Linked DNA regions of Anolis sagrei. The protein of the gene in region 2 binds, or shares a complex with, the protein of the main gene of each other region. Links are inferred from orthologs where the notes say so. Each region holds a gene or a part of one and is shown on either strand. Other genes may lie near its edges.

What was found. The genes of interacting proteins can lie anywhere in the genome.
Region 1: PHF10 (region 2) and SMARCB1 share a complex: the UniProt entries of both Homo sapiens proteins name them as parts of the neural progenitors-specific chromatin remodeling complex. The link is inferred for Anolis sagrei from reciprocal best matches to the Homo sapiens genes PHF10 and SMARCB1.
Region 3: PHF10 (region 2) and SMARCE1 share a complex: the UniProt entries of both Homo sapiens proteins name them as parts of the neural progenitors-specific chromatin remodeling complex. The link is inferred for Anolis sagrei from reciprocal best matches to the Homo sapiens genes PHF10 and SMARCE1.

Annotation. Positions count from the first base shown.
Region 1 is NC_090026.1:662,639-672,400, reverse strand, and holds the start of SMARCB1 (SWI/SNF-related matrix-associated actin-dependent regulator of chromatin subfamily B member 1), read right to left. Parts: upstream 4,218-9,762; 5' UTR 4,176-4,217; coding exon 4,086-4,175; intron 1,556-4,085; coding exon 1,444-1,555; intron 915-1,443; coding exon 885-914; intron 1-884.
Region 2 is NC_090025.1:190,181,752-190,192,506, reverse strand, and holds the start of PHF10 (PHD finger protein 10), read right to left. Parts: upstream 4,603-10,755; 5' UTR 4,519-4,602; coding exon 4,450-4,518; intron 403-4,449; coding exon 296-402; intron 1-295. Other genes in the region: DCP1B (mRNA-decapping enzyme 1B), read right to left, coding at 8,975-9,055, 10,456-10,704. UniProt on the Homo sapiens protein: Involved in transcription activity regulation by chromatin remodeling. Belongs to the neural progenitors-specific chromatin remodeling complex (npBAF complex) and is required for the proliferation of neural progenitors.
Region 3 is NC_090026.1:39,301,819-39,312,472, reverse strand, and holds the start of SMARCE1 (SWI/SNF-related matrix-associated actin-dependent regulator of chromatin subfamily E member 1), read right to left. Parts: upstream 4,218-10,654; 5' UTR 4,093-4,217; intron 1-4,092. UniProt on the Homo sapiens protein: Involved in transcriptional activation and repression of select genes by chromatin remodeling (alteration of DNA-nucleosome topology).

The sequences.
Region 1 (9,762 bases), on a different chromosome or scaffold from region 2:
CTTGGCAGAATTCCTGTGTTCCATGGCCGGTAATCCCAGAGGCTTCTAGTTTTCAAGTACCTGGTTAGCGAGAGGCTAACAGGTTCCTGGTTCTTGTATTGTGGTTTTTGGAATTTTGCTCAAGTTCAGAGATTGTCCTGACTGCTGTTTCTATTGTGGCTTTTTGACTTTGCATTTACCTTTCTTTTGTAACCAATTTTTCATCAATAAAAAAGGATTGTTTCTCCTACAGTCCAGTGTGGTGGATTTAATTTTATGGTCTCGTTTCCTGATCTGGGGTGCAACAGTAAGTAATATAGGATATGAGTGAATGAGACATGGCTTCGCAACCTGTGGGACCTAGGAATCGTAACAGACAATAAAGTAAACATGAGCTAAATGTGGCGCTGCAGCAAAAAAGGCCAATGTGATTGTCCGCTGAATATTATGGGATAGGATATGAATGGGTTTATTGAGCTTATTATGGGATAGGGACAGGCAATATCTGTCTATGAAATATCTAGGCGTCTCAATAGAAGCAAAACACACCAATGCAATTCTGGGCTGAATACAGAGGGAATCATCACAGGGAATTGATGGGCGATATCTGTTTACGAAAGGGGCCGAGGAGTCCTCACAGATGAGAATCTGAACATGATAGTATTAAAAGTGGGATGCAACAGCAAGATAAGCCAATGTGATTCTGGGCTGCATCCACCCATTTGAGACTAGTGTGTAACACACTGAGGGAAGTCACCGTCCCTCCGACTCCTTCCGTCTCTGGAGGTTTTTAAGCAGAGGCTGGATGGCCATCTGTCGAAAGGGATCGGATTGTTCCTTTCTGTGTGGGGTTGGGCTGGATGGCCTTTAGAGATCCCTCCCAACTCTGGGACTCAATGACTTACATCTGCGTGGGCTGTGGCTCCGCTGGGACTCTGCAAAGAGAGAGAAAGAGAGAGATGAGGAGGATGTGCATTTAATTATTATTTATTTCGGACATTTGTATCCCGTCCTATTTTGACCTCCGCAGAGGGACTCAGGGCGGCTCACAACCGGCACGCCATGGTGCCCACAACCAAAAGCATAAATATACAATTTAAACAAAAACAATATAAAAACATTCAAACAGTCACCAATTTAAGTCATCGTCCTAAAAGCAGTCCGTCAAGTCCACTAAAGCCGTCGCTTTGGCAGCAGGTCAGCCTAGTCTGCAAAGGCCTGATCCCATAGCCAGGATTCCACTTGTTTCCGAAAGCTCAGGAGGGATGGAGCAGATCCACAGCTGAGGGGTCACCACAGAAAAGGCCTGTCCCTTGTCCCCATCCCCAAAACGCGACTGCGATGATTTAAATGTCAGCCTTTCTAATATTATGGACATTCCATGCTTTGTATATAATAACATTATGGGGCAGGGTAAGCCCATCCAATCCCTCCCAGCAGAGGCCCAGACGACTCCATCCTCACCATGGGAGGAGGCCACGATCTTCTTCCGCTCCTCGACGGTGGCCAGGCGCCTCCAGAGGGACGGGTAGCGCTTGTAGAGGGAGCCCCGGAACATGCGCAGGTAGTTCCCCACCTGCATTGGTGGATTGGGGAAGGCGGAGGAGAAAGAAGGGAAGGAGAGGAAGTGGGTGGGAGAAGGAGAAGGGCGGAAAAAGGTCTCTATGCCCTACACCATCTCCCTCTTCCCTTCTAAAAGGGGCATTCAATAATGATAACACCAGTATTAAAAAACTCTAAAATTACAACAGAACAACAACAGAGAAAAAACAAACAAGGACATCTAATTACCTCTTAACAAAAGTTTGCTCTAGGCACTGTCAGGCCATAAAATGCTAATCAAGGTGGTCAGTTGAAACATTCACACCTAGCTCCAGCAGACAAGAGTCCTTTGTCCCTCCCTGGTCATCATTCCACAGAGATATAAACCCTTTTTCCTACTTCCAACAGAACTCACTACCTCTGAGGATGCTTGCCATAGATGCAGGAGTAACGTCAGGAGAGAATGCCTCTAAACCATGGCCATATAGCCCAAAAAAACCTACAACAAACCAATATCAATATTGTTCTATGATAAATGGTAATAATATATGATATAACAGTACTAATATTAATAATATATGATAGAGTTGGAAGAGACAATAATAGTAATAGCTAATAGTCATAGGTAAAGTAGGTAAAGTCGTGTCCAACTCTGGGGGGTGGTGCTCATCTCCATGTCTAAGCTGAAGAGCTGGCATTGCCTGTAGACACCTCCAAGGTCATGTGGCCGGCATGGAGCACCGTTACCTTCCCACCAGAGCAGTTCCTATTGATCGACTCACACCTGCATATTTTCAAACTGCCAGGTTGGCAGAAGCTGGGGCTAACAGCGGGAGATCACCCCGCTCCCCAGATTTGAACCTGTGATTTTTTGGTCAACAAGTTCAGCAGCTCAGTGGATAATAATAATAATAATAATAATAGAACAGTGTTAATATACATGATAGAGTTAGAGAGACAATAATAATAATAGACCAATATTTATAATAATAATAATAATAATAATAATAATAATAATAGAACAATATTAATATAAATACTATGTCCTCTAAAGCACCTTATACTGATTTAGGATTGGGTTGTTGTAGGTTTTTTCGGGCTATATGGCCATGGTCTAGAGGCATTCTCTCCTGACATTTCTGATTTAGGATTGTTTGAATGTTCCCTCCAACGCCCCATCTCCCTATCTTGTTCATGCCCAGCATTATTTTAAATTTTAATTACATTTGGCCCAGCCATAGATTTTAAATGTGTGTTGTGCTATTGTCAATGTTTATGCTATTTGTGTTTGAGATTTATTTTAATTGCTTTGTATTGTTGTTGTTATTGCTTGTATTGATGTATTGTGGGCTCAGCCTTATGTAAGCCGCACTGAGTCCCTTGGGGAGAGGGTAGCGGGGTACAAATAAAGCTTTATTTATTTATTTATTACTGGTCTATTATTATTATTGTCTCTTCCATCTCTATCATGTATTGTTGATATTAATATTGTTCTATCGTGATTAATATTAATAATACCGGGATTGTGGCGCAGCTGGCTGAGTGTCAGCTGCATTAAGATCATTCTGGCCAAAAGGTCATGAGTTCGAAGCCAGCCCGGGTTGGAGTGGGCTTCCAAGCAATTGTGTGTAGCCTGTTGTCGACCTTTGCAGCCCAAAGGACAGTTGCATCTGTCAAGTAGGAAAATTAGGTACCACCTTAAAGTGTGGGGAGGCTAAATTAACTGATTTATGAGGCCATAAAGAAGACTCCAGCAAAGCATTCCAGCGGGGAAGCATGCGGGGAATGCGGAAGTGCTTCATCAGCATCGCAGATGGACGAGGAAAGCAGCCAGAAAAAGTTAAATAGCCTCTGTGTATGTCTGTATATGTTTGTATGTAAAAAATTGGCACTGAATGTTTGCCATATATGTGTACACTGTAATCCGCCCTGAGTACCCTGTGGAGTGAGGAGAAGGGCGGAACATAAAAGCTGTAAGTAAATAAATAAATAAATAAATAAAACATGATAGAACAATATTAATAATCTGAATGCAAGGGAATTCCAGACATGAAACGATCAGCACCAGTGAACACCTCCCAACAAAGGATTCCCCCAGGCAGGAATCAGCCAGGCCTTGAAGCTGCAAGGCTGTGCAATGCTAATCAAGGTGATTAATTACAACATTCACATTTGCCTCCCACAGAAAAAAGCAACCCAATATTATTAATACATGATAGAGTTGGAAGAGACTTAATAATAATAATAATAATAATAGAACAATATTAATATTGTTCCTATTATTATTATTATTATTAAGTCTCTTCCAACTCTATCATGTATTGTTAATATTAATCATGGTAGAAGAATATTAATAATACAGGATAGAGTGGTTAAAAGATACCACATAATAATAATAATAATAATAATAACAACAACAACAACAACAACAAGATGGGGAAGAAGAAGCGACCACAAGGCCCAATCCACCCTTCTCCTTCTCCTGAATGAAAGGAAGGCAGGCCAGGCCTCCTCCCTCCCTTTCCCTTCCTTCCTTCCCTTCTTCCCCTTCTCCCCGGCTTCACCTCGGATCCGATCATGTAGAACTCGCCATCTTCTTCCAGCTGGAACTTGACGGGCTTCTGCCCGAAGGTCTTGCTCAGCGCCATCATCATCCTACGCCTCACAAGAACAGGAGGAGCAGGAGACGGACTGCGCCTGCGCCGAGAAGGGGGCGTGCCTGCCCTGCGTCATCACGGGCGCGCCTCTTCCGGCACTTCCCATTGGCCACTTTATCCCCGCTTCCTTTTCGCGCCTTTAACGGGGCGTGGCTTGTTGCTAGGGGCGACAGTCTAGCGTCGAGCGCGGTGACGCAGCCCTGAAGGACCCCAGAGAAGGAGAGAAGGGCTGTCTTCCCCACTGCCTGACTAAAGCGAGGAACTCTTCGAAACCGTGGTGGGGGCGTGGCTTGTTGCTAGGGGCAACGGTCTAGCATCCCGTATGGGAAAACCTGAAGGACCCCTGAGGAGAGAAGGGCTGTCCTCCCCACTGCCTGACTAAAGTTCTCTCCCTCACTGCCTGACTAAAGCGAGGAACTCTTCGGAACCGTGCTGGGGGCGTGGCTTGTTGCTAGGGGCGACGGTCTAGCGTCGTGCGCGGTGACGCAGCCCTGAAGGACCCCTGAGGAGAGAAGGGCTGTCCTCCCCACTGCCTGACTAAAGTTGTCTCCCTCACTAGGTTCTTGTGGGTTTTTTCGGGCTATAGGGCCATGTTCTAGAGGCATTCTCTCCTGACGTTTCGCCTGCATCTATGGAAAGCATCCTCAGAGGTTGTGAGGTCTGTTGGAAGTAGGAAAAAATGGGTTTATATATCTGTGGAATGACCAAGGTGGGACAAAGGACTCTTGTCTGCTGGAGCTAGGTGAGAATTGGTTGTTTTCGGGCTCTATGGCCATGGTCTAGAGGCATTCTCTCCTGACGTTTCACCTGCATCTATGGCAAGCATCCTTAGAGGTTGTGAGGTCTGTTGGAACTAGGGAAATTGGGTTTATATATCTGTGGAATGATGTCCAGGGTGGGGCAAAGAGCTCTTGTGTGCTGGAGCTAGGTGTGAATGTTTCAAAAAGCCCACCATATGGTTCAGATATGTGGATGACACCTTCACCCTTTGGAGCCATGGAGAAGAAGAACTCAACAGGTTCCTGGACCATCTGAACAGCATCCACCCAAACATATGGTTCAGAGATGTGGATGACACCTTCACTATTTGGGGCCATGGAGGAGAAGAACTCAACAGGTTCCTGGAGCATCTGAACAGCATCCACCCAAACATCCAGTTTACCATAGAAAAAGAAAATGAAGGAAGACTGCCTTCTCTAGATGTCCTCGTCATCCGCAAACCAGATCAACAATTGGGTCACACCGTCTACAGAAAACCCACACACACAGATAGATATCTACATAAAAACTCCAACCATCACCCAAGTCAAAAAAGAAGCCCCATCAAAGCCTTGGCAGACCATGCAAAAGGAATCTGCGAAGCCCACCTCCTCCAAGATGAACTGAACCACCTCAACTGGGCTCTCCAGGCCAAGGGAGACTCCACCTCAGGCATCAGAAGAGCTGCAAGACCAAGAACAAGCCACGAGAGTAAAGAGGAAGATCCACCCAGAGGAAAAGTGTTCCTGCCAGACATCAAGGGAACCACTGACCGAAGAAGGAAGCTGATGAGGAAACACAACATACAAACCATCTCCAGACCCACCAAGAAAATCCAACCAATGCTCCCTTCAGCAAAGGACAAGAGGGACCCTCTCACCTCTCAGGAGTCTACCATTGTATCCCATGCAGCTGTGGACAAGTCTACATAGGGACCACCAAATGCAGCATTGCCCAGACACGAATCCAGGAACATGAAAGGCACTGCAGACTACTTCAACCAGAGAAGTCAGCCATAGCAGAGCACCTGATGAACCAGCCTGGACACAGCATATTATTTGAAAACACAGAAATGCTGGACCACACCAACAGCCACCATGTCAGGCTACACAGAGAAGCCATTGACACCCACAAGACGCATGTGGACAATTTCAACAGAAAGGAGGAAACCATGAAAATGAACACAATCTGGCTACCAGTATTAAAAAAACTCAAAAATTACAACAGCAAAACAACAGAGAGGAAACAAACAAGAACATCTAATCACCTCTCAACAAAAGATTTTCCCAGGCTCAGCCAGGCCTTCAAATGCTAATCAAATTGGTCAGTTGAAACATTCACACCTAGTTCTTGTGGGTTTTTTCGCGCTGTATGGCCATGTTCTAGAGGCATTTCTCCTGACGTTTCGCCTGCATCTATGGCAAGCATCCTCAGAGGTCGTGAGGTCTGTTGGAATTAGGACAATGGGTTTATATATCTGTGGAATGGCTGGGGTGGGGCAAGGAGCTCTTCCCTGCTGCAATTAGGTGTGAATGTTTAGCTAATCACCTTCATTAGCATTTGAAGGCCTGCCTGAACCTGGGAAAGTCTGTTGCTGGGAGGTGTTAATCTGTGCCTGGTTTCTTCCTCTCTGGAAGAAGAGGAAGAAACCAGGCACAGATTCACACCTAGCTCCAGCAGACAAGAGTCCTTTGTCCCACCCTGGTCATTCCACAGATATATAAACCCCTTTTTCCTAGTTCCAACAGACCTCACAACCTCTGAGGATGCTTGCCATAGATGCAGGCGAAACGTCAGGAGAGAATGCTGCTAGAACATGGCCATATAGCCCGAAAAAAACCCCACAAGAACCTAAAGCAAGGAACTCTTCGGAACTGTAGCGGGGGCGTGGCGTGTTGCTAGGGGCGACGGCCTAGCGTCGCGTATGGGAAACCCTGAAGGACCCCAGAGGAGGAGAGGAGGGCTGTCTTCCTCACTGCCTGACTTCCCGCGTTTTAAAGCAAGGAACTCTTCCAAACTGAAGTCAAAAAAGGAGATATTATTTACATTATCAATGGCATTGGGTTTTTTTTAAAAAGTGTTTGAATTAATAAGTAAATCATGACGAGGAATAAAACAGTGTGTGTGTGTGTGTATACACCAGGCCTGGGCCCACTTGGGCCTTCCCTCCAGGTGTTTTGGACTTCAACTCCCACAATTCCTGGCCTCAGGCCCCTCCCACTTCCAGGTGTTTTGGAATCGTATTGTCAAAGGCTAACAGGGCCGGAATCACTGGCCTGCTGTAAGTTTTCAAGTCCGTCTGGCCATGTTCCAGAAGCACTCTCTCCTGACGTTTCGCCTGCATCTATGGCAAGCATCCTCAGAGGTAGAGAGGTACGTTGGAAGTAGGAAAATGGGTTTATAGATCTGTGGAATAACCAGGTGGGGCAAAGGACTCTTGTCTGCTGGAGCTAGGTGTGGATGGGTTATATGGGGGCTATATGGCCATGTTCCAGAAGCATTCTCTCCTGACGTTTCACCTGCACCTATGGCAAGCATCCTCAGAGGTAGAGAGGTATGTTGGAACTAGGAAAAAGGGTTTACATATCTGTGGAATGACCAGGGTGGGACAAAGGACTCTTGTCTGCTGGAGGTAGGTGGGAATGTTTCAACTTTTTTTTGGTCGTGTCAGGAGTGACTTGAGAAACTGCAAGTCGCTTCTGGTGTGAGATAATTGACCGTATGCAAGGACGTTGGGACGTTGCCCAGGGGACACTGCTTGGATGTTTTGATGTTTTTATCATCCTTGTGGGAGGCTTCTCTCATGTCCCCTTTGCATGAGGAGCTGGAGCTGATAGAGGGAGCTCATCCGCCTCTCCCCGGATTCGAACCTGCAACCTGTGCGGTCTTCAGTCCTGCCGGCACAGAAGGGGTTTAACCCACTGCACCACCGGGGGCTCCATAATGTTTCAACTGACCGCCTTGATTAGCATCTGATGGCCTGGCAGTGCCTGGGGCAAACTTTTGTTGAGAGGTGATTAGATGTCCTTGTTTGTTTCCTCTCTGCTGTTTTGCTGTTATAATTTTAGAGTTTTTTTTAGTACTGGTAGCCAGATTGTGTTCATGTTCATGGTTTCCTCCTTTCTGTTGGAATTGTCCACATGCTTCTTGTGGATTTCAGAGGCTTCTCCATGTAGCCTGACATGGTGGTTGTGAGAGTGGTCCAGCACTTCTGTGTTCTCAAATAATATGCTGTGTCCAGGTTGGTTCCGGAGTGTGGTGGAGGCTCCACTGGCCATCTGTCGGGGGTGCTTTGAATGCATTTTTCCTGGTTCTTGGCAGAATAGGATTGGATTGGACTGGATGGCCCAGGAGGTTTCTTCCAACTCTAGGATTCTATGATTCTGTAAATTCTGTAGACGGTGTGACCCAATTGTTGATCTGGTTTGCAGTTGACTAGGACATCTAGGAAAGGCAGTCTTCCTTCATTTTCTTTTTCCATGGTGAATTGGATGTTTGGGTGGATGCTGTTGAGATGGTCCAGGAACCTGTTGAGTTCTTCTTCTCCATGGCTCCAAATGGTGAAGGTGTCATCCACATATCTGAACCATATGTTTGGGTGGATGCTGTTGAGATGGTCCAGGTTACCTGTTGAGTTCTTCTTCTCCATGGCTCCAAAGGGTGAAGGTGTCATCCACATATCTGAACCATATGTTTGGGTGGATGCTGTTCAGATGGTCCAGGAACCTGTTGAGTTCTTCTTCTCCATGGCTCCAAAGGGTGAAGGTGTCATCCACATCTCTGAACCATATGTTTGGGTGGATGCTGTTGAGATGGTCCAGGAACCTGTTGAGTTCTTCTTCTCCATGGCTCCAAAGGGTGAAGGTGTCATCCACATCTCTGAACCATATGTTTGGGTGGATGCTGTTGAGATGGTCCAGGAACCTGTTGAGTTCTTCTTCTCCGTGGCTCCAAAGGGTGAAGGTGTCATCCACATATCTGAACCATATGTTTGGGTGGATGCTGTTGAGATGGTCCAGGAACCTGTTGAGTTCTTCTTCTCCATGGCTCCAAATGGTGAAAGTGTCATCCACATATCTGAACCATATGTTTGGGTGGATGCTGTTGAGATGGTCCAGGAACCTGTTGAGTTCTTCTTCTCCATGGCTCCAAAGGGTGAAGGTGTCATCCACATATCTGAACCATATGTTTGGGTGGATGCTGTTGAGATGGTCCAGGTTACCTGTTGAGTTCTTCTTCTCCATGGCTCCAAAGGGTGAAGGTGTCATCCACATATCTGAACCATATGTTTGGGTGGATGCTGTTCAGATGGTCCAGGAACCTGTTGAGTTCTTCTTCTCCATGGCTCCAAAGGGTGAAGGTGTCATCCACATATCTGAACCATATGTTTGGGTGGATGCTGTTCAGATGGTCCAGGAACCTGTTGAGTTCTTCTTCTCCATGGCTCCAAAGGGTGAAGGTGTCATCCACCTATTTGAACCATATATGAACCATATAGGTATTTCCCAGGTAACTACAAGAGAGGAGATTCCATCTGAACATGAGGAAGAACTTCCTGACTGTGAGAGCCGTTCAGCAGTGGAACTCTCTGCCCCGGAGTGTGGTGGAGGCTCCTTCTTTGGAAGCTTTGAAACAGAGGCTGGATGGCCATCTGTCAGGGGTGATTTGAATGCAATATTCCTGCTTCTTGGCAGAATGGGGTTGGACTGGAGGATGCCCCAGGAGGTCTCTTCCTACTCTAGGATTCTATGATTCTATGATTTTGGAATTCAATATTTCCAGGTGTTTTGGACTTCAATTCCCACAATTCCTGGCCTGGGGCCTG
Region 2 (10,755 bases):
CTGGAATATACTTCCAACTCTCTATTTTCAAGGAGAAAAGCACCAAAGTCCTATTTATAGATTTTTGCAGTGACATGTATTACTACATATACATCAAATTTCAGATATCTAGTTCATGCAGAAATAGTCTAAGAATACTAGGACTGTGTAAATAATTAAATAAATCCAGTGAAGCTCAAAGATTTATAAATTTTACAATTATGTTTGTATTAATGTAATTCAGGTATTTGTTGGGAAATAACATATACTAAACTAAAACATTCTGGTGAAAATATTTTTCAAAACTGAGTAATACCTAAGATCTTGGCTTGAAGTTTCACAACTTCGTGAACTGTCCCCTGAGCCCATTCGCCGTCTTTTAGATGGTTGGCTGCCATCGTTTGAATTGTCTTCAGTATCATCCTGAACCAAAAGCACAAATATTACAATGCTGTAAAGTCATAATACAGTAATCACATATCTATTAAGCTTTAAGGTAAGGTTACATTAAAACCCTAAACCAACAAATCTTAATCTAATCCCCAGGTTTGTTAAGACTTTTTATCCAAACTCTATACCAATGTATTTATTTATCGCATTTGTATACCGCCTTTCTCAGCCAGAGGCGAATCAAGGCGATTCACAGTCGGCAGCGATTAGATGCCATAACAAATATCAAAAATGCAATTAAAACAATTATAAACAATTCAACATTTAAAATGTAATATAAAAAGCAAATATATCTGTAAAAACTAGATCCTCGGCGTCTCCTTACAAAAATCGTTGTCCAGTTGCATCGTCAGTAATTCCATATGTTCGTTTACATCTAATTTTGCTCCAGCAGAAAACGTTTGCTCGAAGAGCCAGGTCTTAACTATTTTGCAGAATGTTAGAAGGGAGGGAGCCGAACTGTTATCCCTGGGGAGGGTGTTCCATAGCTGAGGGGCCACCACTGAGAAGGCCCTGTCTCTTGTCTCCGCCAAACGTATCTGTAGGAAAGCGGGATCAAGAGCAGGGCCTCCGCAGACTATCTTAAAGTCCTAGATGATTCATAAGGAGAGATACGTTCGGATAGATAAGCTGTTCAGTTACGTTATTTAATATCCACCTTTCTCCCAAGATGAGATCCAAGGTGACTTACACCTTGGAATGTTAAATTGCCTCTGTGTCTGTCTGTGCTGGAATGTTAAATTGCCTCTGTGTCTGTCTATTTATGTTGTGTGCCTATGGCATTGAATGTTTGCCATGTATATAGTACATTGTAATCCGCCCTGAGTCCCCTGCGGGGTGAGAAGGGCGGAATAGAAATACTGTAAATAAAATAAATAGGGCTTGTTCTCCAGACCCTTGATCATTTTATCATATCTCCTCTCAGCCTTCCTCTTCTTCAGGCTAAATGTAAGCCGCACCGAGTCCCTTGGGGAGATGGTAGCGGGGTATAAATAAAAGTTTTTTAAAATTACTATTATTATTATTATTACATATTTATTTATTTATTTATGAGGGACTCAGACCGGTTTCCAACCATAATATCACATACAATCAATAAAACATCATAATACATATTACAGTAAAACATTAAAACAGCAATTACAATCAATAACTATAATGGTCAGTCGTCACACTAAAATCGTTGCTCATCATCCTCCATCCATATCTCAGGGTGTTGGCTCACCCAGCTCCTTAAGCCGCTCCTCATAGGGCTTATTCTCCAGACCCTTGATCATTTTAGTCGCCGTCCTCTGGACATATTCCAGCTTGTCAACATCTCCCTTCAATTGTAGTGCCCAGAATTGGACACAATATTCCAGGTGTGGTCTAACCAAGGCAGAATAGAGCATGGGTAGCATTACTTCCCTCGATCTAGACACTATGCTCCTATTGATGTAGACCAAAATCCCATTGGCTTTTTTTGCCACCACATCACATTGTTGGCTCATGTTTAACTTAGAATCATAGAATCAAAGAGTTGGAAGAGACCTCATGGGCCATTCAGTCCAACCCCATTCTGCCAAGAAGCAGGAATATTGCATTCAAAGCACCCCTGACAGATGGCCATCCAGCCTCTGTTTAAAAGCTTCCAAAGAAGGACTATCCACCACACTCTGGGGTAGAGAGTTCCACTGCTGAATGGCTCTCACAGTCAGGAAGTTCTTCCTCGTGTTCAGATGGAATCTTCTCTCTTGTAGTTTGAAGCCATTGTTCCGCGTCCTAGTCTCCAGGGAAGCAGAAAACAAGCTTGCTCCCTCCTCCCTTTGGCTTCCTCTCACATATTTATGCATGGCTATCATATCTCCTCTCAGCCTTCTCTTCTTCAGGCTAAATGTAAGCCGCAATGAGTCCCTTGGGGAGATGGTAGCGGGGTATAAATAAAAGTTTTTTAAATTATTATTATTATTATTAAATATTTATTTATTTAAAAGTTTTTTATACCGGCCTTCTTACCTCTCTTGAGGGACTCAGACCGGTTTCCAACCATAATATCACATACAATCAATAAAACATCATAATACATATTACAGTAAAATATTAAAACAGCAATTACACTCAATAACTATAATGGTCAGTCATCACACTAAAATTGTTGCTCATCATCCTCCATCCATATCTCAGGGTGTTGGCTCACCCAGCTCCTTAAGCCGCTCCTCATAGGGATTGTTCTCCAAATCCTTGATCATTTTAGTCACCCTCCTCTGGACACATTCCAGCTTGTCAATATCTCTGTTGAATTGTGGTGCCCAGAATGGGACACAATATTCCAGGTGTGGTCTAACCAAAGCAGAATAGAGCATGGGGAGCATGACTTCCCTAGATCTAGACACTAGGCTCCTATTGATGCAGGCCAAAATCCCACTGGCTTTTTTTGCCGCCACATCACATTGTTGGCTCATGTTTAACTTGTTGTCCAAGAGGACGCCCAAGATTTTTTTCACATGTACTGCTCTCGAGCCAGGCATTGTCCCCCATTCTGTATCTTTGCATTTCGTTTTTCCTGCCAAAGTGAAGTATCTTGCATTTGTCACTGTTGAACTTCATTTTGTTAGTTTTGGCCCATCTCTCTAATCTGTCAAGATCGTTTTGAATCCTGCTCCTGTCCTCTGGAGTATTGGCTATCCCTCCCAATTTGGTGTCGTCTGCAAACTTGATGATCCTGCCTTCTAACCCTTCATCTAAGTAATTAATAAAGATGTTGAACAGGACCGGGCCCAGGACAGAACCCTGCGGCACGCTGCTCGTCACTTCTTTCCAAGTTGAAGAGGAAGCATTGGTGAGCACCCTCTGGGTTCGTCCATTTAACAATCAACAACCAAAAATCAACAAAACATCATAATCAGACAACATCATGAAAACAACATCATGGCTCAACAGCAAATGATGATTTCAAGCTTTAGCATGGAGAGCATGACTTCCCTAGATCTAGACACTTTGCTCCTACTGATGCAGGCCAAAATCCCACTGGCTTTTTTTGCCGCCACATGACATTGTTGGCTCATAGAATCATAGAATCAAAGAGTTGGAAGAGACCTCATGGGCCATCCAGTCCAACCCCATTCTGCCAAGAAGCAGGAATATTGCATTCAAATCACCCCTGACAGATGGCCATCCAGCCTCTGCTTAAAAGCTTCCAAAGAAGGAGCCTCCCCCACACTCCGGGACAGAGAGTTCCACTGCTGAACGGCTAGTTTGAAGCCATTGTTCCATTGCGTCCTAGTCTCCAGGGAAGCAGAAAACAAGCTTGCTCCCTCCTCCCTGTGGCTTCCTCTCACATATTTATAAATGGCTATCATATCTCCTCTCAGCCTTCTCTTCTTCAGGCTAAACATGCCCAGTTCCCTAAGCCGCTCCTCATAGGGCTTGTTCTCCAGACCCTTGATCATTTTAGTCGCCCTCCTCTGGACACATTCCAGCTTGTCAATATCTCTCTTGAATTGTGGTGCCCAGAATTGGACACAATATTCCAGATGTGGTCTAACCAAAGCAGAATAGAGGGGTAGCACTACTTCCCTAGATCTAGACACTATGCTCCTATTGATGCAGGCCAAAATCCCATTGGCTTTTTTTGCCGCCACATCACATTGTTGGCTCATGTTTAACTTGTTGTCCACGAGGACTCCAAGATCTTTTTCACACGTACTGCTCTCGAGCCAGGCCTCATTGTCCCCCATTCTGTATTTTAGCATTTCATTTTTTTCTGCCAAAGTGTTTTGCCTTTGTCCCTGTTATAGTGTTGTTTGGGTTTTTTCTGCCTAAGTGGAGTATTTTGCATTTCTCCCTGTTGTAGGGTGTTGTTTTGTTATGGCCAACTCCTATATTAATTCTTAAAAATATCTAATGAGAATGGCCTGAGGAGAAAAAGCTTTTTCCCTGCCTTGGAGGGGATCCAAGATGGCGGCCGTAGCAGGCCTCACAGGATGCAAACGCCTCCCTCAGCGCTTCTCGGCGAGGCTTTGAGGGGAAAGCGGCTCTCACCTTGAGGGACTGGGTTCCAGGCGTGGCCGGGTCGCTGTCACATACCCGCGGGGACAGAACGGCCGCCATCACCGCCGACGGCCGCGGCGAGAAAGGTCCACCATCGGCCTCTTCTTCCTCCTCCTTTCTCCCTCACGCGACCCTACTTCCGCTTCCGGCTCTCAGAACGCCGTTGCATGACAGCGCCACCTGCGCCCTAGCAGTGGTATTGCAGCCGCATCCCAGAGCGCCTCCTTCTTCTACTGCACACCCATATGCGCATGCGCAAGGCATTGATTACACCTGTAGACTTAAGTTTTCACCCAGCAGGCCTTAGACCAGGGATCTTCAAACTTTTGAAACAGAGGGCCAGGTCACAGTCCCTCAAACTGTTGGAGGGCCAGATTATAATTGGAAAAAAACATGAAAAGAATGCAATAATTAAAATGAAGACAAGTCTACATTAGGCAATCCCTCGTTGGCCAAGTAGGATAGTCTTCCAGGATCAGTCCCTAGGTGACTGTGGAGCCCTATTCTTGATCTGCATCTTCTCCTGTAGTAAGGGCATTGGTTTCCAGGTGAAAGGCCGTCTCAGTCAGGGTTGGCTTGACGCACCTTCCTCTTGGCACGTTTCTCTCTTTCACCCTCCATTCATGCCTCTTCAAATTCTGCAGCACTGCTGGTCACAGCTGACCTCCAGCTTGAGCACTCAAGGGCCAGGGCTTCCCAGTTTTCAGTGTCTATGCCAGAGTTTTTAAGGTTGGCCAGATAGGCCCTATATCCTGGGATATAGGACCTATCTGGAAGAGCCCTCTTAGATAGTGTTGTGTATGCCTGCTTGCAGCATAGGATTCAACTTCCTACTCTAGATTTCTTTCAGGATGGCTGGGTTTCTTTCAGGCACATCTTAACACCTCTCAACAAAAGATTCCCCCAGGCACTGCCAGGCCATCAAATGCTAATCAACGTGGTCAGTTGAAACATTCACACCTAGCTCCAGCAGGCAAGAGTTCTTTGTCCCACCCTGGTCATTCCACAGAAATATAAACCTTTTTTCCTAGTTCCAACAGACCTCACTACCTCTGAGGATTCTTACTATAGATGCAGGCAAAACGTCAGGAGAAATGTCTCTAGAACATGGCCGTATAGCCCGAAAAAACCTACAACAACCCAGTGATTCCGGCCATGAAAGCCTTCGACAATACGTTTATATTTGTTTAAATTGTTCTTCATTTTGTTAGGTTCTTGTGGGTTTTTTCGGGCTATATGGCCATGTTCTAGAGGCATTCTCTCCTGACGTTTCGCCTGCATCTATGGGAAGCATCCTCAGAGGTAGTGAGGTCTGTTGGAACTAGGAAAAAGAGTTTATATATCTGTGGAATGACCAGGGTGGGAGAAAGGACTCTTGCCTGCAGGAGCTAGGTGTGAATGTTTCAACTGACCACCTTGATTAGCAGGTGGACAATTTCAACAGAAAGGAGGAAACCATTGAAATGAACAAAATCTGGCTACCAGTATTAAAAAAAAAAACTCTAAAATTAGAACAGCACAACAACAGAGAGGAAACAAACAAGGACATCTAATCACCTCTCAACAAAAGATTGCTCCAGGCACTGCCAGGCAATCAAATGCTAATCAAGGTGGTCAGTTGAAACATTCACACTTAGCTCCAGCAGACAAGAGTCCTTTGTCCTATCCTGGTAATTCCACAGATATATAAACCAATTTTCCGAGTTCCAACAGACCTCACTACCTCTGAGGATGCTTGCCATAGATGCAGGCGAAATGTCAGGAGAAATGCCTCTAGAACATGGCCATATAGCCCGAAAAAACCTACAACAACCCAAATATAAACTTATTAGCATATGAATGGGAAGTGTGGGCCTGCTTTTGGCTGATGAGATAGGATTGTTGTTTTGTGCTTTCAAGTCATTTCAGACTTATGTTGACACTGAGCGAGGGCCGGGTAAATGACCTTGGGGGGCCACATCCGGCCCCTGGTTGTTAGTTTGAGGATCCCTGCCTTAGACAGAACACTAATATTTAGGAAATGCTATGCAAACACCAAGCACAAAGTAGCTGCCCGCAATAACATCCTTGTAAGCTACCCTGAGTTTGCCAGGCTGTCTGGCAAAGTTCCAGAAGCATTCTCTCCTGACATTTCACACACATCTATGGCAGGCATCCTCACATGTTGAGGGGTCTTCTGGAAACTAGGCAGGTGAGTTTTATATATCTTTGGAATGTCCAGGGTGGGAAAAAGAACTCTCGTCTGTTTGGGGAAAGTGTGAATGTTGCAATTGGCCACCTTGATTAGCATTTAATGGCCTTGCAGCTTCAAAGCCTGAGTGATTGCTGCCTGGGGAGTCCTTTGTTGGGAGGTGTAACCTGGCCATGATTGTATCTTCTCTCGAATTCCCCTGATTTTTGAGTGTTGCTCTTTATTTAGTGTCCTGATTTTAGAATTTTTAAAAATACTAGTAGCTAGATTTTGTTCATTTTCATGGTTTCCTCCTTTCTGTTGAAATTGTCCACATGCTTATGGATTTCAGTGGATTCTCTGTGTTGTCTGACATGGTGGTTGTGAGAGTGGTCCAACATTTCTGTGCTTTCAAATAATAGGCTGTGTCCAGGTTGGTTCATCGGGTGCTCTCCTATGGCTGGCTTTTCTGGTTGAATTAGTCTGCAGCGCCTTTCATGTTCCTTGATTCGTGTTTGGGCAAAGCTGCGTTTGGTGGTCCCTCTGTAGACTTGTCCACAGCTGCATGGTACATTATTTACCATGGTATTTATGCAGTGCTTTTACATGAAATAAATAAATAAACCCAGCCAGCCTGAAAGAAATTTAGAGTAGGAAGTCGAATTCCATGCTGCAAGCAGGCATACACAACACTATCTAAGGGCTCTTCCAGATAGGCCCTATATCCCAGGATATAGGGCCTATCTGGCCAAGCTTAAAAACTCTGGCATAGACACTGAAAACTGGGAAGTCCTGGCCCTTGAGTGCTCCAGCTGGAGGTCAGCTGTGACCAGCAGTGCTGCAGAATTTGAAGAGGCACGAATGGAGGGTGAAAGAGAGAAACATGCCAAGAGGAAGGCGCGTCAAGTCAATCCCGACAGAGACCGCCTTCCACCTGGAAACCAATGCCCTCACTGCGGGAGAAGATGCAGATCAAGAATAGGGCTCCACAGTCACCTACGGACCCACCAGAATACTGATCCTGGAAGATTATCCTACTCTGCCAACGAGGGATCGCCTAAGTATATCCCAGGATCTGATCCCAGGTTAGGATTTGTGGGAGTTGAAGTCCAATTTGGAGGGCCAAAGTTTTCCCATGCCTGCGGTAAGCCGAGAGCTGATGTAATAACATGCATCCAAACAGGAATCTGTGTATTCCTATTTTTATTTTATTTTTCTTAAAAATGAGTAATTGAAACCATTGTCCAGCGGGTCATGGAAGACTGTGAAAATTAAAATATTCGTCCTTTTTGCTATTTTTAACAAAACGTCTTAAAATGATGGAGCTATTTCCTAGAGAAGTATTGCAGCCCTGCGCTGGCTTAGATCGGCATCTAAGAGGCCAAACAGCTGGAAACAGAAGCCTGTCTTCGAAAAGCTAGAATTTCACCATCTGTTGCTTTGCTATGAATAGTCTGGTCGCTTAATAGAAAAATATTTGCTTAGAAAAGGAGGGATATTTTTTTAATTTAAAAAAAAGAAAAAATGTTTTTTTTCATCAAAGGTTATTTGGGAATGAGTTGCAATACACATTTTGAAGAGTACTTGGTTTTAATGGGGATTTAGTGTGCTCAATATTCGGCAAACTTCAGCCCTCCGGGTGTTTTGGACTTCAACTCCCACAATTCCTAACAGCCGATAGGCTGTTAGGAATTGTGGGAGTTGAAGTCCAAAACACCCGGAGGGCCGAAGTTTGCCCATGCCTGTTCTACCCTGTTGTCATCTTCAATCAACCTTGTTTGTAGCTTTCGAAATAGTTTCAATAAGCTATGAAAAAGAATGTCAACAAGTGGGTAAACTCTTTGGGAGGAATGTGGCTTTTTTGTGACAATGAAGCTGTAAATAGTGATTGCTTTTTTCAGCCCAAGCTTTCTTTTCTTTTTTATGAACAAGTCTTAAGCTGCCTTCTGTTGCTCAGCAACAAGTACCACTCTTTGCAGATATTACTGCATTATACAAGAGAATAACTATGTACAAGGGAGGAAAAAATCCTGGCAAAGTACCCACAGAACATGTATTTGAAAGGAAACCCACCCAAAGGATCGGCACAGTAATGACAAAATATCAAAATGTATGCCATCTGACATAGAGTCCAAGTAAGAAAAAAAACAGCACAAGGTATTTCAAATTTGTGGCCAAGTCCCAGCTCCAAAAAGGCACTATCAGTTTCCGTCCATTAAAATCGTCACCTGCTTGTCAATAAGCGTCATTTAAAGGTTTGCAAGATGCCAATGTCTTTCATTGTTTTAAAAATTCAAGAGGAGGATAGACTTTGGATTAAAATATATATATATATATATATATGCTTCACAGAGTCTTTTTCGAGTCTTCTCTTCTTGACTTGGCAACGTAAGCGTCGTAGATGATGTTTAGGAAATTATCGTCATTCTGGGGAGGGAAAAACATATCATTTGTTAATGCAAAAAAAAGAGGAATAATAATAATAATAATAATAATAATAATAATAATAATAATCGTTTATTTATTTATTTACTATATTTATATAGTAAATGCGTGACTTAGGGCCTTTTATTCTAGCACTTAAGACCTGGCTTTTTACTAGAGCATTTGACTCATGTTAATTTATTAATATTTGTATGTAATGTGTTTTATCCTGTATAATTTCTGCTATGTAAATCGCCTAGAGCATCTCGGATGGAGGACGATTAATAAGTAATTAAAGATGATGATGATGATATATAGTCGCCCCTCTCAGGCAACTCAGGGTGGTTAACAAAGGCAAAAATTTAATGCCCACAACAGCATAAAACATTTAAAAACATTAACATGTAATATAATATCTTAGCAAAATCAATTAAAACTAAATCATAAGTATCTCTTAATTAAAACATCATCCAATAATAATAATAATAATAATAATAATAATAATAATAAATGATTCTGGAAAAGAAAAATTGGATTATTGATGTTGCCATACCAGGTGACAGCCAAATTGACGAAAAACAACAGGAAAAACTTAGGTGTTATCAGGCCCTCGAACTGCAAAGGCTCTGGCATAAACCAGTACGGATGGTCCTAGTGGTCCACCTGTACTTTTGAATTTTTTGAAAATATATCACATAGTCGTAAACGCTTGGAAAGTGTTTGACTTGTGATTTTGTGATACGAAATCCAGCATATATATCTTGTTTACTGTGTCATACTGTGTTTTTGTGTCAGAATGATGATGATGATGATGATGACGACGACGATGACGACTTTGGCACAAGCTAGTCAAGATGGTCCCAGTGGTAATTGGCACACTGGGTGCAGTGCCTAAAGACCTTGGCCTGCACTTAAAAACAATTGGCTCTGACAAAATTACCATCTGTCCGCTGCAAAAGGCTACCCTACTGGGATCTGCACGCATTATTTACCGATACATCTCATAGTCCTAGATGCTCGGGAAGTGTCCAATGTGTGATCGAATGCAAAAGCCAGCATAGTGAATACAATTGCTGTGTACTAATCTTGTTATGCATCAAATAATAATAATGATGATATTAATAATTACAAGGGACTCGGGGCAGCTTACAGAAGCATGTGATAGTGCAGTAAAATACACAAGATAAAATAAAACCAATAACAATGACAATTTACATAAAACAACGTTCATCAAAACAGCATATAAAACCCCTACTGAATTAAATAAGATGTTCAATAATGTAAAACCAAGTATTAATCCCATCCAGGATCCTTTACCCATTCTCAGTTAGGAAAGGGAATTGCTGGGCTCTCACACACAGTTTTTTATCAAAATAAAGAAGATAAGAATATCTGATGTTTACCCGAATTAGATGCAGTAGCGTTTCCTGTAGCTGCAGCTTTGTCAGTGGATTTAGGTTTCCAACTGGAGGTTCTGGGTTCTGCAGAGGCAGGAGAAGGTTTGCTGAACTGGGAGTGGCTTCTTGGTTTGCAACCGGCAGCCAGCAGCTTTCATTTGGTTTTGGTGGAGCCGGGTTTGACTGGCTGAAGACCATTGGGGACATCAGGAGTGAAGGAGCTACGGTCGCAGGGATCCGCTGCGGTGAAATGACCTGCTTGTCAGGAATATTAAAAATTAATTAGGTATTTTTAATTACAAAAAT
Region 3 (10,654 bases), on a different chromosome or scaffold from region 2:
TTAGACTTCAACTTACATCATTTATTCTGTTTTGTATTGGGCAATGTATGTGTGTTTGTATCTTCAAGTCACTTGTTTACTTACAGTGATGCCATTAATTTCATAGGGTTTTCTTAAAGCAAAGGATTCTCAGAATGATGTCAGTTCCTTCCACTGAAATATAGACTAGAGCACCTGCTATTTGTTGTAAGTCCCCCATCAAAGTACTAACCAGTGGTGACCATGCTTAGCTTCCAAGATCAGATGGGATCTGGTCCCTTTAAAGTACTTAGGCTATTTGGTATGCCTCAATTACAGGAAAAAGAAAATAATTACATATAATTCATTCATTAGACTGTACTATTTCCAAGATATGAGCAGAAAAAAACCACCACAGTAACCAAAATAGGAGAATGTGGATGTTTTTACTGTTTCAGTTTTATGCCATTATATAATTTTGTTGATTTTATTTATTTATTTAGTATAAAAAGCATTGCATAAATTAGTATGATAAAACTGATAAAAATAGAAGCACAAGCTGCTAAATATCTTTTGACCAAAAATAGGCAACAGTGATCACATTGTCTATAGCAGGGGTCCTCAAACTTTTTAAACCGGGGGCCAGTTTACTGTCCCTCAGACCGATGGAGGGCCGGACTATAGTTGTTGTTTTTTTAAAAAAATCAATTAAAAAATTCCTCTGCACATTGCACATATCTTATTTTGCTGTGTGGAAGGGCCCTTAGAGGGGGTTCTTTCTAGCCCTCTTTAGGCAGTAATTCCAGGAGCAGAGAATGGGAAATCTTCCTATTTCTAGTCTGACCAAAAATCTGGCTACCAGTATTTAAAAAACTCTAAAATTATAACTGTAAATAAAGAACAACACTCAAACACAGGGGAACTCCAGACAAGAAACAATCAGGGCCAGCTAATCATCTCTCAACAAAGGATTCTCCCTAAAAACTGTCAGGCTATGAAATGGCAATCAAGGTGGCCAATTGAAACATTCATACCTACCTCCAACAGACAAGAGTTCTTTCTCCCACCCACAATTTTCCTGGTTAAAGGTTTTCCTCTGACATGAAGTCCAGTCGTGTCTGACTCTGTGGTGCTCATCTACATTTCTAAGTCGAAGAGCCGGCGTTGTCCATAGACACCTCCAAGGTCATGTGGCCAGCATGACTGCATGTAGCGCCAGGGCAGCCTCCCTTGGCTGGCTCACGCTGTCTATCAGGCCTGACGGATAGCGTGAGCCTGCCAAGGGAGGAGCAGGCCCGCGCGGCCTACTTGTGAGTAGACCACGCAGAGCAGCCTCCCTTGGCTGGCTCATGTGGCCTACTTGTGAGTAAAGCGCCTCGCGAGGTGCTTTACTCGCGGGTAGACCACGCGGAGCAACCTCCCTTGGCTGGCTCATGTGGCCTACTTGTGAGTAAAGCGCCTCGCAAGGTGCTTTACTTGCGAGTAGACCACGCGGAGCAGCCTCCCTTGGCTGGCTCACACTGTCCATCAGGCCTGATAGATAGCGTGAGCCTGCCAACGGAGGGGCACTGTGTGTGTGTGTGTGTGGGGGGGGGGGCGCTCCTCCTCTGCGGGCCGGATCGGGGCCCTTGGCGGGCCGGAAGTGGCCCGTGGGCCGTAGTTTGGGGACCCCTGGTCTATAGCCTCAAACAAATCTTTTTCTGTACATGAGGCAGGACATTGCAGGCAAGCATACAGATGCGGAGTTGTCTGTTCTGCTCCGTAGCCACACAAGGTGGAGGATTCTTTTAGGTAGTGCCATTTTGTCAGGTTGTTTTGTGATCTGTCCACTCCACTTCTGAGTTTGTTCGGGGACCTCCAAGTTTCCCATTCTTAGTTTGCCCCTAGAGACAGATCCTCGTGGGGGGGGGGGGCATCCAATTGGATTAGCTGCTTAGAACGATACTCTTGCTGTTTCTGGGAAAACGTTAAGATGAGTGGTGGTTCACATGACGCTTTTCCTTGATTAGTCTACTGGGAGGAGGCTGATAACCATGCAGTGGATGGCTTTCAGTGTTCAACCTTATTTCTCTCAGTTAGTAGCAACTTCCTGTGACACATGGGGGGGGGGGGGGAATGCCAGCTAGCTTGTAGAGTTTATCAACAGGTGTAGGTTTAAGACATTATGTGATCACTCTGTATGTTTTGTTCATCACTATGTTCACTTGCTTCACGTGGGCAGAGTTGTGTAAGCCGCATCGAGTCCTTCGGGAGATGCTAGCGGGGTACAAATAGTTTAATAATAATAATAATAAAACAGGGCAGGCATACTTGGCAGCTGAGTAAGACAAGGCCAGGGCAGATGTTCTTATTAATTTTGGGTCTGCACCCCATGTGCTGCCAGTTAAGTTTCTGCAGGATGTTATTGCATGCAGCTACTTTGTGTTTGGTGTTCCTGCAGTGTTTCCTATATGTTAGCGTTCAATCTAAGATGACACAAAGATATTTAGGATGGAAACAATGTTCAACCTCTTGACCTTCCCAGGTAACTTACAATTTCCTGCTGGCTTCATGGTTCTGTAAGTGGAAAGCACACACGTATGTCTTGGAAAGGTTAGGCTACTTTGTTGATTATGTTGTGTTTAATTTATTGATGTTAGGTTCTAATGTCTTCATATGTGGTGTTAATTTGGGTTATTTGCTGGCACTTATTTGTTTTAATGTAATGCAATATAATACTACTAATAATATGGTATTATAATTATATATTTATGTTACATGTAATATTACTAATAATATTACAATATAATGGTATAATACAATATAGTAATATTTAATACTGTTATTGTACTATGCTATTAATACAGTATATTGTGTGTGTATATATATATATCTCTTGTAAGCCATTCTGAGTCCCCTTTGGGGTGAGAAGGGCGGCATATAAATGTTGTAAATACAATAAATAAATTATTGAGGCATTGAATGTTTTCCTTTTTGTATGTTGGTATCTGCCCTGAGTCCCCCAGGGAGATAGGGTGGAATATAAATAAGGGTTTATATTATTATTATTAGTAGTAGTAGTAGTAGTATTACTGGAGCCCCCGGTGGCACAGTGGGTTAAAGTGCTGAGCTGCTGAGTTTGTTGACCGAAAGGTCGCAGGTTCTATTCTGGGGAGTGGCATGAGCTTCCTCTGTCAGCCCTAGCTTCTGCCAACCTAGCAGCTGGAAAACATGCAAATGTGAGCAGATCAATAGGTAGCAGGTTCGAATCTGGGGAGTGGTGTGAGCTCCTGTTGTTAGCCCCAGCTTCTGCCAACCTAGCAGTTCAAAAACATGCAAATGTGAGTTGATCAGTAGGTACTGCTCCAGCAGGAAAGGGACAGTGCTCCATGCAGTTATGCTGGCCACATGACCTTGGAGGTGTCTATGGACAACGCAGGCTCTTCGGCTTAGAAATGGAGATGAGCACCAACCCCCAGAGTCAGACATGACTGGACTTAATGCCAGGGGACAACCTTTACCTTTTAGTAGTATTACTGTGGTGGTTCTTTCCTGTTCATATCTGGGAAATAATACAATCTAATAAGTGAGTACTTATAATTCTTTTCTTTTGTATTACTAAGTGTTGGTTTTAAGAGTGTGTCCATTTATATATGCAAGTTGCCTGTCGACTTATGACAACATTATGAATTTCATAGGCGTTTGTTAGGCAAGGAATACTCAGAAATTCCTCCCCTTTTGTAATGTTTTTCTTTTGTTCTTTTGGAAACAAAATAAAACTTACTTATACAAAAAAAGAAGTAATATTAAATCATTAAATCATTATAATAATTAGGAATTGAGAAAATAAATAATATAATTCAAGAAATTAAAAAAAACAGAAGGTATTTCGACCAGTGTATTGTATGATCAGTGTAGACTCATACAACGCACTTTAACTGCATTATGATAATACTGCAGTATATTTCAAGTCGGCCTCAGCGTTAATTATAATCGACAACGATGAAGAAAAACCTTCCTCTCAGAAACAGGCCTCCCTTCACACCGGCCTGGAAAGGCCTCTGGCTTTGGCGTGGCCGAGGAAGGAGGATTTCTGGGGTCCCGCACCCCAATATGCCTCCTCAGCCAAGCCCCAGCCACGTCCTTCAGACTCACCCGCGTCCCACTCGGACTCGAGGCCTCTCTCTCGCTTCTTTTGTCTCGACACGAACCAAGAAAGGCGGGGATGGAGAAGGAAGGCGGCGGCGAGGCGGCCTCTATTTCACTATTTCCGTTCCTGCTTCAGCACTTTCCACACAGACCTCCCTTTCGCTAGGTAAGAAAAAAAGGTAAAAACCTAACAAGAAAATCCTCTCGAATTCCACTTTAAACAGTACACATATACTTTCCTCCTCTTGAGTTTCAAGACGTCCTCTCTTCCGAAGGTTGCCGTGGCAACGACGTGAAAGTGCTGCTTTGAATTCCAAGCTAAGGGAAAAGTGGAGGAGGGAGGAGGAGAGAGCGTGCTGGATGACGTGATGACGTCATCGATCGGCATTGCGTGAGGAGCGTGATGAATCCATACAACCTGAGCAACTTTGGGATGGTGGCTTAAGTATTTGAGTTGTTGCTGCTGCAACCAATTGCCTTTTAAAACAATGTTCCAAGCTGGGGTTTGACGGCCTTTCTTGAGACAGGCCCCTTCCACACAGCTGGATGAAATCCCACATTTGCTTTGAATTGGGATATAAGGCAGTGTGGACTAAGGGCCCTTCCACATAGCACTGTATCCCAGAATATTATTTATTTATTTATTTATTTATTTCAGATACTTGCACCCCACCCTTCTCACATAAACAGTTAACACACCAATTAAAATTCTGGTCTGGCTCAATTAATTGTCACTTCGAATTTGCTTATGTCTTCTTCATACATGCCACTATTCAATGGCCAAATGCAAGGTCCCACAGCCAAGTCTTGAGTTTCCTTCTAAAGGACAAGAGGGAGATGGCTAATCTGATGTCTTTGGGGAGGGAATTCCACAGACAGGGAGCCACTGTTGAGAAGGCCCTGTCATCTCCACTAATCACGTTTGCAGTGGCAATGGGATCAAGAGCAGGGCCTTTCCAGATGATCTTAAACTTGGTTGTTGCAGGTTTTTTTGGGCTATATGGCCATATAGCCCGAAAAAACCTACAACTATCCAGTGATTCCGGCCATGAAAGCCTTCGATCTTAAACTTCGTGATGATTCGTAGTAGGAGATACGTTCGGACATGTAGTCTAGGCCAGAGCTGTTTAAAGGTTAAAACCAGCACTTTGGATTGAGCTTGGTAGCAGATCGGCAAGCAGTGGAGCTGGCGTAACAGAGGAGTTGGTTGCTCCCTGTATGCCGCTCCGGTGAGCAACCTGGCTGCTGACTGTTGGATTAATTAAAGCTTCCAGGCAGTATTCAAAGGCAGCCCCACATAGAGCGCATTGCAGTAGTCTAATCACATTGCAGTCATTAATATCAAGGCAGAAAATCCCACATCTGAGTTCAAAGCAGATATTATGGGATTTTCTGCCTTGATATTCTGAGATATAGGGCTGTGTGGAAAGACCCTCAGATCACCCAGTTCAAAACATATTGTGGGGTTATTCAGCCTTGATATTCTGGGTTATATGGCTGTGTGGAAGGTCCCTCAGACTCCGCCTTTATTTTTCCTAATGCTACAGGTCTCAGACCTCCTTCAACTTGGCACTTTATCACATTGAGACATCTCCCAGTCACAGGACACTTCAGCCTCTATTCAAACATGGATAGGCACTGAGCTCATCACATGAGTTAAATTATTTCTGGAAGTCATGCATAACCCTCTTTGATTGAAGAGAGGCAGAAGTATCCTGAAAGGAGGGAACTCCAGCAATCGACCTCATCACATTGCAAATTTTTCACCTCCTAGCTCATCACATGTTCCCAAGTTGAAAAGAGGCTGAAATGTGCTTTAAATAACTCAAAACGACAGCAACAAATACTGCAACCTCCTATTACATTTGCGTTATTTGCTCCCAATTTATCCTTGGGCTCTAGTAGCTCTCTGTTGGTTTGCTTAATGCTTTTGTTTCATAACTAAGTCTGGGCCAGAGAGAACCTGAGCAAGATATAGGCCAGTTTTGCCTTGGGCAGCAGGTAACATTGAACAGCCAGTTTGGGAATAGTGAGGCAGGGGAAGAGGAGAGGAGGATCCTACCCCCTGAAATTGCTTTGCTGTCAGCACAAAAGCAGAAGGGACATATTGTACCATGGCAGATGATTATAACATTGTGGGATCGGGAGATATTGGTTAGGTTTACCCAACAATAGCTAGTGACAGCAGAATCATCGGGGTGGGGAGGCAAATCAGTCGTGGAATTACACATGGCAGGTTTGCCTGCCTCATGTGATAAAGTCATAAATGTATTTGGAGCTTTGCATTGACCTTCCCCCATTTTTAAGGCCCTCTGAACATTAGGATCATATGCATCAAGAACATTTCTTTTCATGATCCTTCTGAATGAGAGGATGGACACCCAGTATCCCTGACAGATGCGCATCCAGCCTCTGCTTAAAAACCTCCAGAGAAGAAGACTTCACCATGTTCCGAGGCAGCATGTTACACTGTCCAATAGTTCTTACTATCAGGAAGTTTTCCTAATATAAGATGGAATCATTTTTCCTTGCAATTTTATCCATTGCTCCACCCCCATCTCCTACTCTCCAGAGCAGCAGAAAACAAGCTCATAGCCCCCCTTAATGTGAAGTTCTTTCGAATATTTAAACACGGCTGTCATGTCCCCTCTCATCTTCTTCTCTCCAAGCTAAACATACTCAGCTCCCTAAGTCGTTCCTCTACCCTTCTACATTGTAACTTGTCAAAATCCTTCTTGAATTGTGATGGCCAGAAACGGACACAGGATTCCAGTTGAAGTCTGACCAAAGCAGAATACAGTGGGACTATGGCTTCCATCAATTTCAACGTGATACTCCCAGTGATGCCTAGAAGAGCATTTGATTTTTGAGCTGCCTCATCACACTGTTGACTCATGTTCAGTTTATGTTTTACCAAGACTCCCAGATCCCTTTCACATGTCCTATTTTCAAGCTGGGTGCCACCCATCCTGTATCTGTGCATTTCATTTTTACTGCCTTCATTTAGTACTGTGCATTTCTCCTTGTTGAAATTCATTTTGTCAGTTTTGACCCACCTCTGTAATTTGTTAAGGGCATTTTGGATTCATTGGATGAAAGGAGAATTCAGTATGAAGCTGTCACTTCAGTACTCCTGATTTCAATATTGTAAAGTCTGTAAAGATATGTTTGGTTTTAAAATACTGTTTTTCAGCCAGAGGTATTTGGATGAGAAGTAGAATACTATTTAAAACAGGGGTGTCCATACTTTTTAAGATGAGGTTCCCTCAGCCTGTTGGGGGACCAGAGTATAGTTTGAAAAAAAAAAACACATTCCTTTGCACACTTATTTGTAGCGCAATAAAGAAAAAAGAAAAAGAAAAAAAACCTAGAACATATATGTCTTGCAGCGTCTCTCCTTCTCCTTTCTTTCAAATCATCCCCAAAAATATGTTCACCCCATTCTTCCATACCACCTGTGCTGGTACGGCTGTACAAAGAGCTCCAAACTCCCTTTAGTTCTTTGAACGTTTGCATGTGCTTGTTCTGGCCATGCATTTTGCAGTTGGATGGTTCCTGCTAGGCTGCAGTCATGGGGCTAGCCACCTGTCTATCATCGTTAAGTTTTAGTTCTGCCCTTTTTTCCAGGTTCAGGAGGGAAAGGGAACCATTTTAGTTCGGTCTTACAGTTGGAAGCTCAGCTACAGGACATGAAAGTTTTCTACCTGTAGAGAAGCTTCGTTTCTTACAAAGTCCGGGGGAAAAGAATCTCAAAAGCTCTGGCTGGGGAATTTACATCCTCACAGCTTTAAGAACAGTCTTTAAAGAAAGGCATTTAAGAGAAACAGCTTTACTGCACAACCCTTGTTGGTGTTGAAGAAACAGACCTACAACTTTTGTGGGAAAAATCCTAAGGACTCCAGCTGGAAATTCTTCAGAGCCTTGGCTGGTAGGTTTACTTGGGTACCCAAGAAGTAATTTGGAACCGGGAGTAGGGCCCACACCAGCAAAGCCTAGAAAGCTGATTGTCCAGGGAGGGGTCAAAAAGGGTTTTCCTCATAAAGGAAAGAAAATAATTCTCCAAGCAAGTTGCCTGTCCATTGTAGACAAGTTAAGAAGCATTTGTTTGATTTGTTGAAGATCTAAGATTGTTTGTTGAAGACCTAAGCAATAATAAAGAACTTTGTTAAACTTTTAAACTTCTAAAGACTTTGTATAGGAAAATCTATAGGGCCTCTCATCCAAGGCACCCCGGCTTCCTGCTGGGCACAAAGAGCACGTCCTGTTCAAAAGCCAATTGCTATAGGCCCAGCGCGTGACAGCACACTACCTGTATTTTGTCTTAAAATGTATTAGCACAGAACACTTTGAAGGCTGATTAAGAGAGACAAGACAAATCCTATCATGTTAGGATGTGACATCCCCCTTGGCCTGTTGATGGATTTTATTTTGTCTATTTATTTTAGATGGCCATAGTCAATTTCACTCTTGTGGCATGTCTGAATAAAGAGAAAAATCTAAAACCTACCTTGAGATTTGTACAGCTAAACAAAATATTTACTTTCAGTAAGGAATGTGCATACTCATTTCCTTTGAATGTTCACTATTTCTTCAGGGTTCATATTGTACTGAGTTAGAGAATAGCAAAGTGCTGATTTTTATCCTCTCTTTTTTTTTCTTTAAGTAGATTTTGAAAGTTAACGGCACTTTTTAGGGTGAAATTTATTACTTTGTGAGGTTTTTAAAAAGAGATAATGATAGTTGGCAGTCATCTGATGGATGGGATTGCACCTATGGCAAGTCTTGTGTAACATTTAAAGGGTGTATATGTTTTTGAGTTTTTTTGTTAGTATGTCTGCTGGTTGTGTAATCATGCTGTGTCTTAAGCACTTATTTATCAGAATAAACTATTAGTGAATGTTGGCAAAGCCAAATGTGGCAATAGAAACACTTATAATATTAAAAAGAGTTTTACCTAAGAGATTTCTACAACTCAGGGATTGTATCACCTTTGTTCCAATGATCATTCTAAGAAAAGTACATTATGCTTAAAAGGAACTCCAAGTAATCAAACAGAGATTAAAACAAAAGCTGTTTAAATGAAAACAAAGAATACTAAAGAGAAAATAATAGAAATGGAAAGTCTAGAAAGCCTTTCAGATTACATAGTTATAGTGTTATTATTCCACTGTAACTTCTTGGGCAACATTTTATGAAATCCTGGGATTTGCAATTAAGGTGGATCTGCACTGCCCTATATCTCAGATTATCTGCTTTGAACTGGATTATATGCATCTACACTGCCAGATAATTTGGGATAAGCAGATAATCTAGGTTCAGATCCTAGGATATAGAGCAATGTAGATCCAGCCTTAGATATGGGCATTTATGATTTTCAGCCAGTAATTATTGGTTTTCACTAAACTCAAAGGCAAGATTCCCCCCAGAAACTGGATATCTTGGTGCACACTTTTCCTAATCTATTCATGTTTGGAGATATCTTTTAAAAATACACATTGCACATGGATTAAAGTGTGTGCTTGCATTTTTCATCTATTCAGAAAATCATGCATATTTGTGAAAAATTCAGAGAAAAAGAAGAATTCGAGGCTTGTTGTTTGTTCTGAGTGTCAGTAATAGAAAGATATACTTATGTCTTATAATACATTCTTATAATACACGTTAGATACATTCATAACAAATCTAAATGAATTCTTATTTCATTTCTATCTCTATATGTTACTTTGTGTTCTGAACATCTGGAAAGAAGACTAATAAATGTGACTATGGCACATTTGCTGACATATGAATAAGAGTTCCTCCATTCCTGATTCTTTTTTGAGAAGATCCACAGGATGTAAATATTATATTTGTCAGACTTGGATTTATTTTCAGCATGACAGTGGCATCATTTACTTTGGTAAATTCATATTCCTATTTCTTAAAGGCAATTTAAAGTTTAATTTTAAATCCAAGTATTGTAAAAAGTACAAATGATGTCCCAACGAAAACAGAAAAGCTGCACAGAGAAATAAGACAGTTTTACATTTAGAATGCCAAGTAAATAAGTAGTAAGAATGCTAGATCAGAGTTTATTAAGATTAAATGTTAACAGCTAGCACATTATTTTCAATTAAAGAATGGCTCATTTTTCTATGTTGTTAAAAGCTGGAAGTTAACTAAATGCCGCAATATACTTGCTGTATCATGTCTTACACATGCCATATGAAAGGCAACTGTAGACACTCTAGTAAAATGTATTACATGCTACTGAGGACCTAAATAAAGAATACATGAATCCTGGTTTGTCAAGACATACTGACAACAAGTAGTTCCATCTGAATTCTAAAAATCAGTAATCCAGTCTTCTAATTACATTGTAAGGTCATACAGTACTTGTTTTGTTCTTTAAAAACTTAATGCTAATGTTAAGTTTACAGAGGAATTTAGATTTAGCAGTTTGAAAGAAAAATGTATAGTCATATATAAAATTGTATTTATTTCAGGTTGATGAGACACTATACTATATTAAGTTTCTTTCATCTACCTTTCCCTATGACATCTGCATTTGTAAAAAAAAAGCTAATTT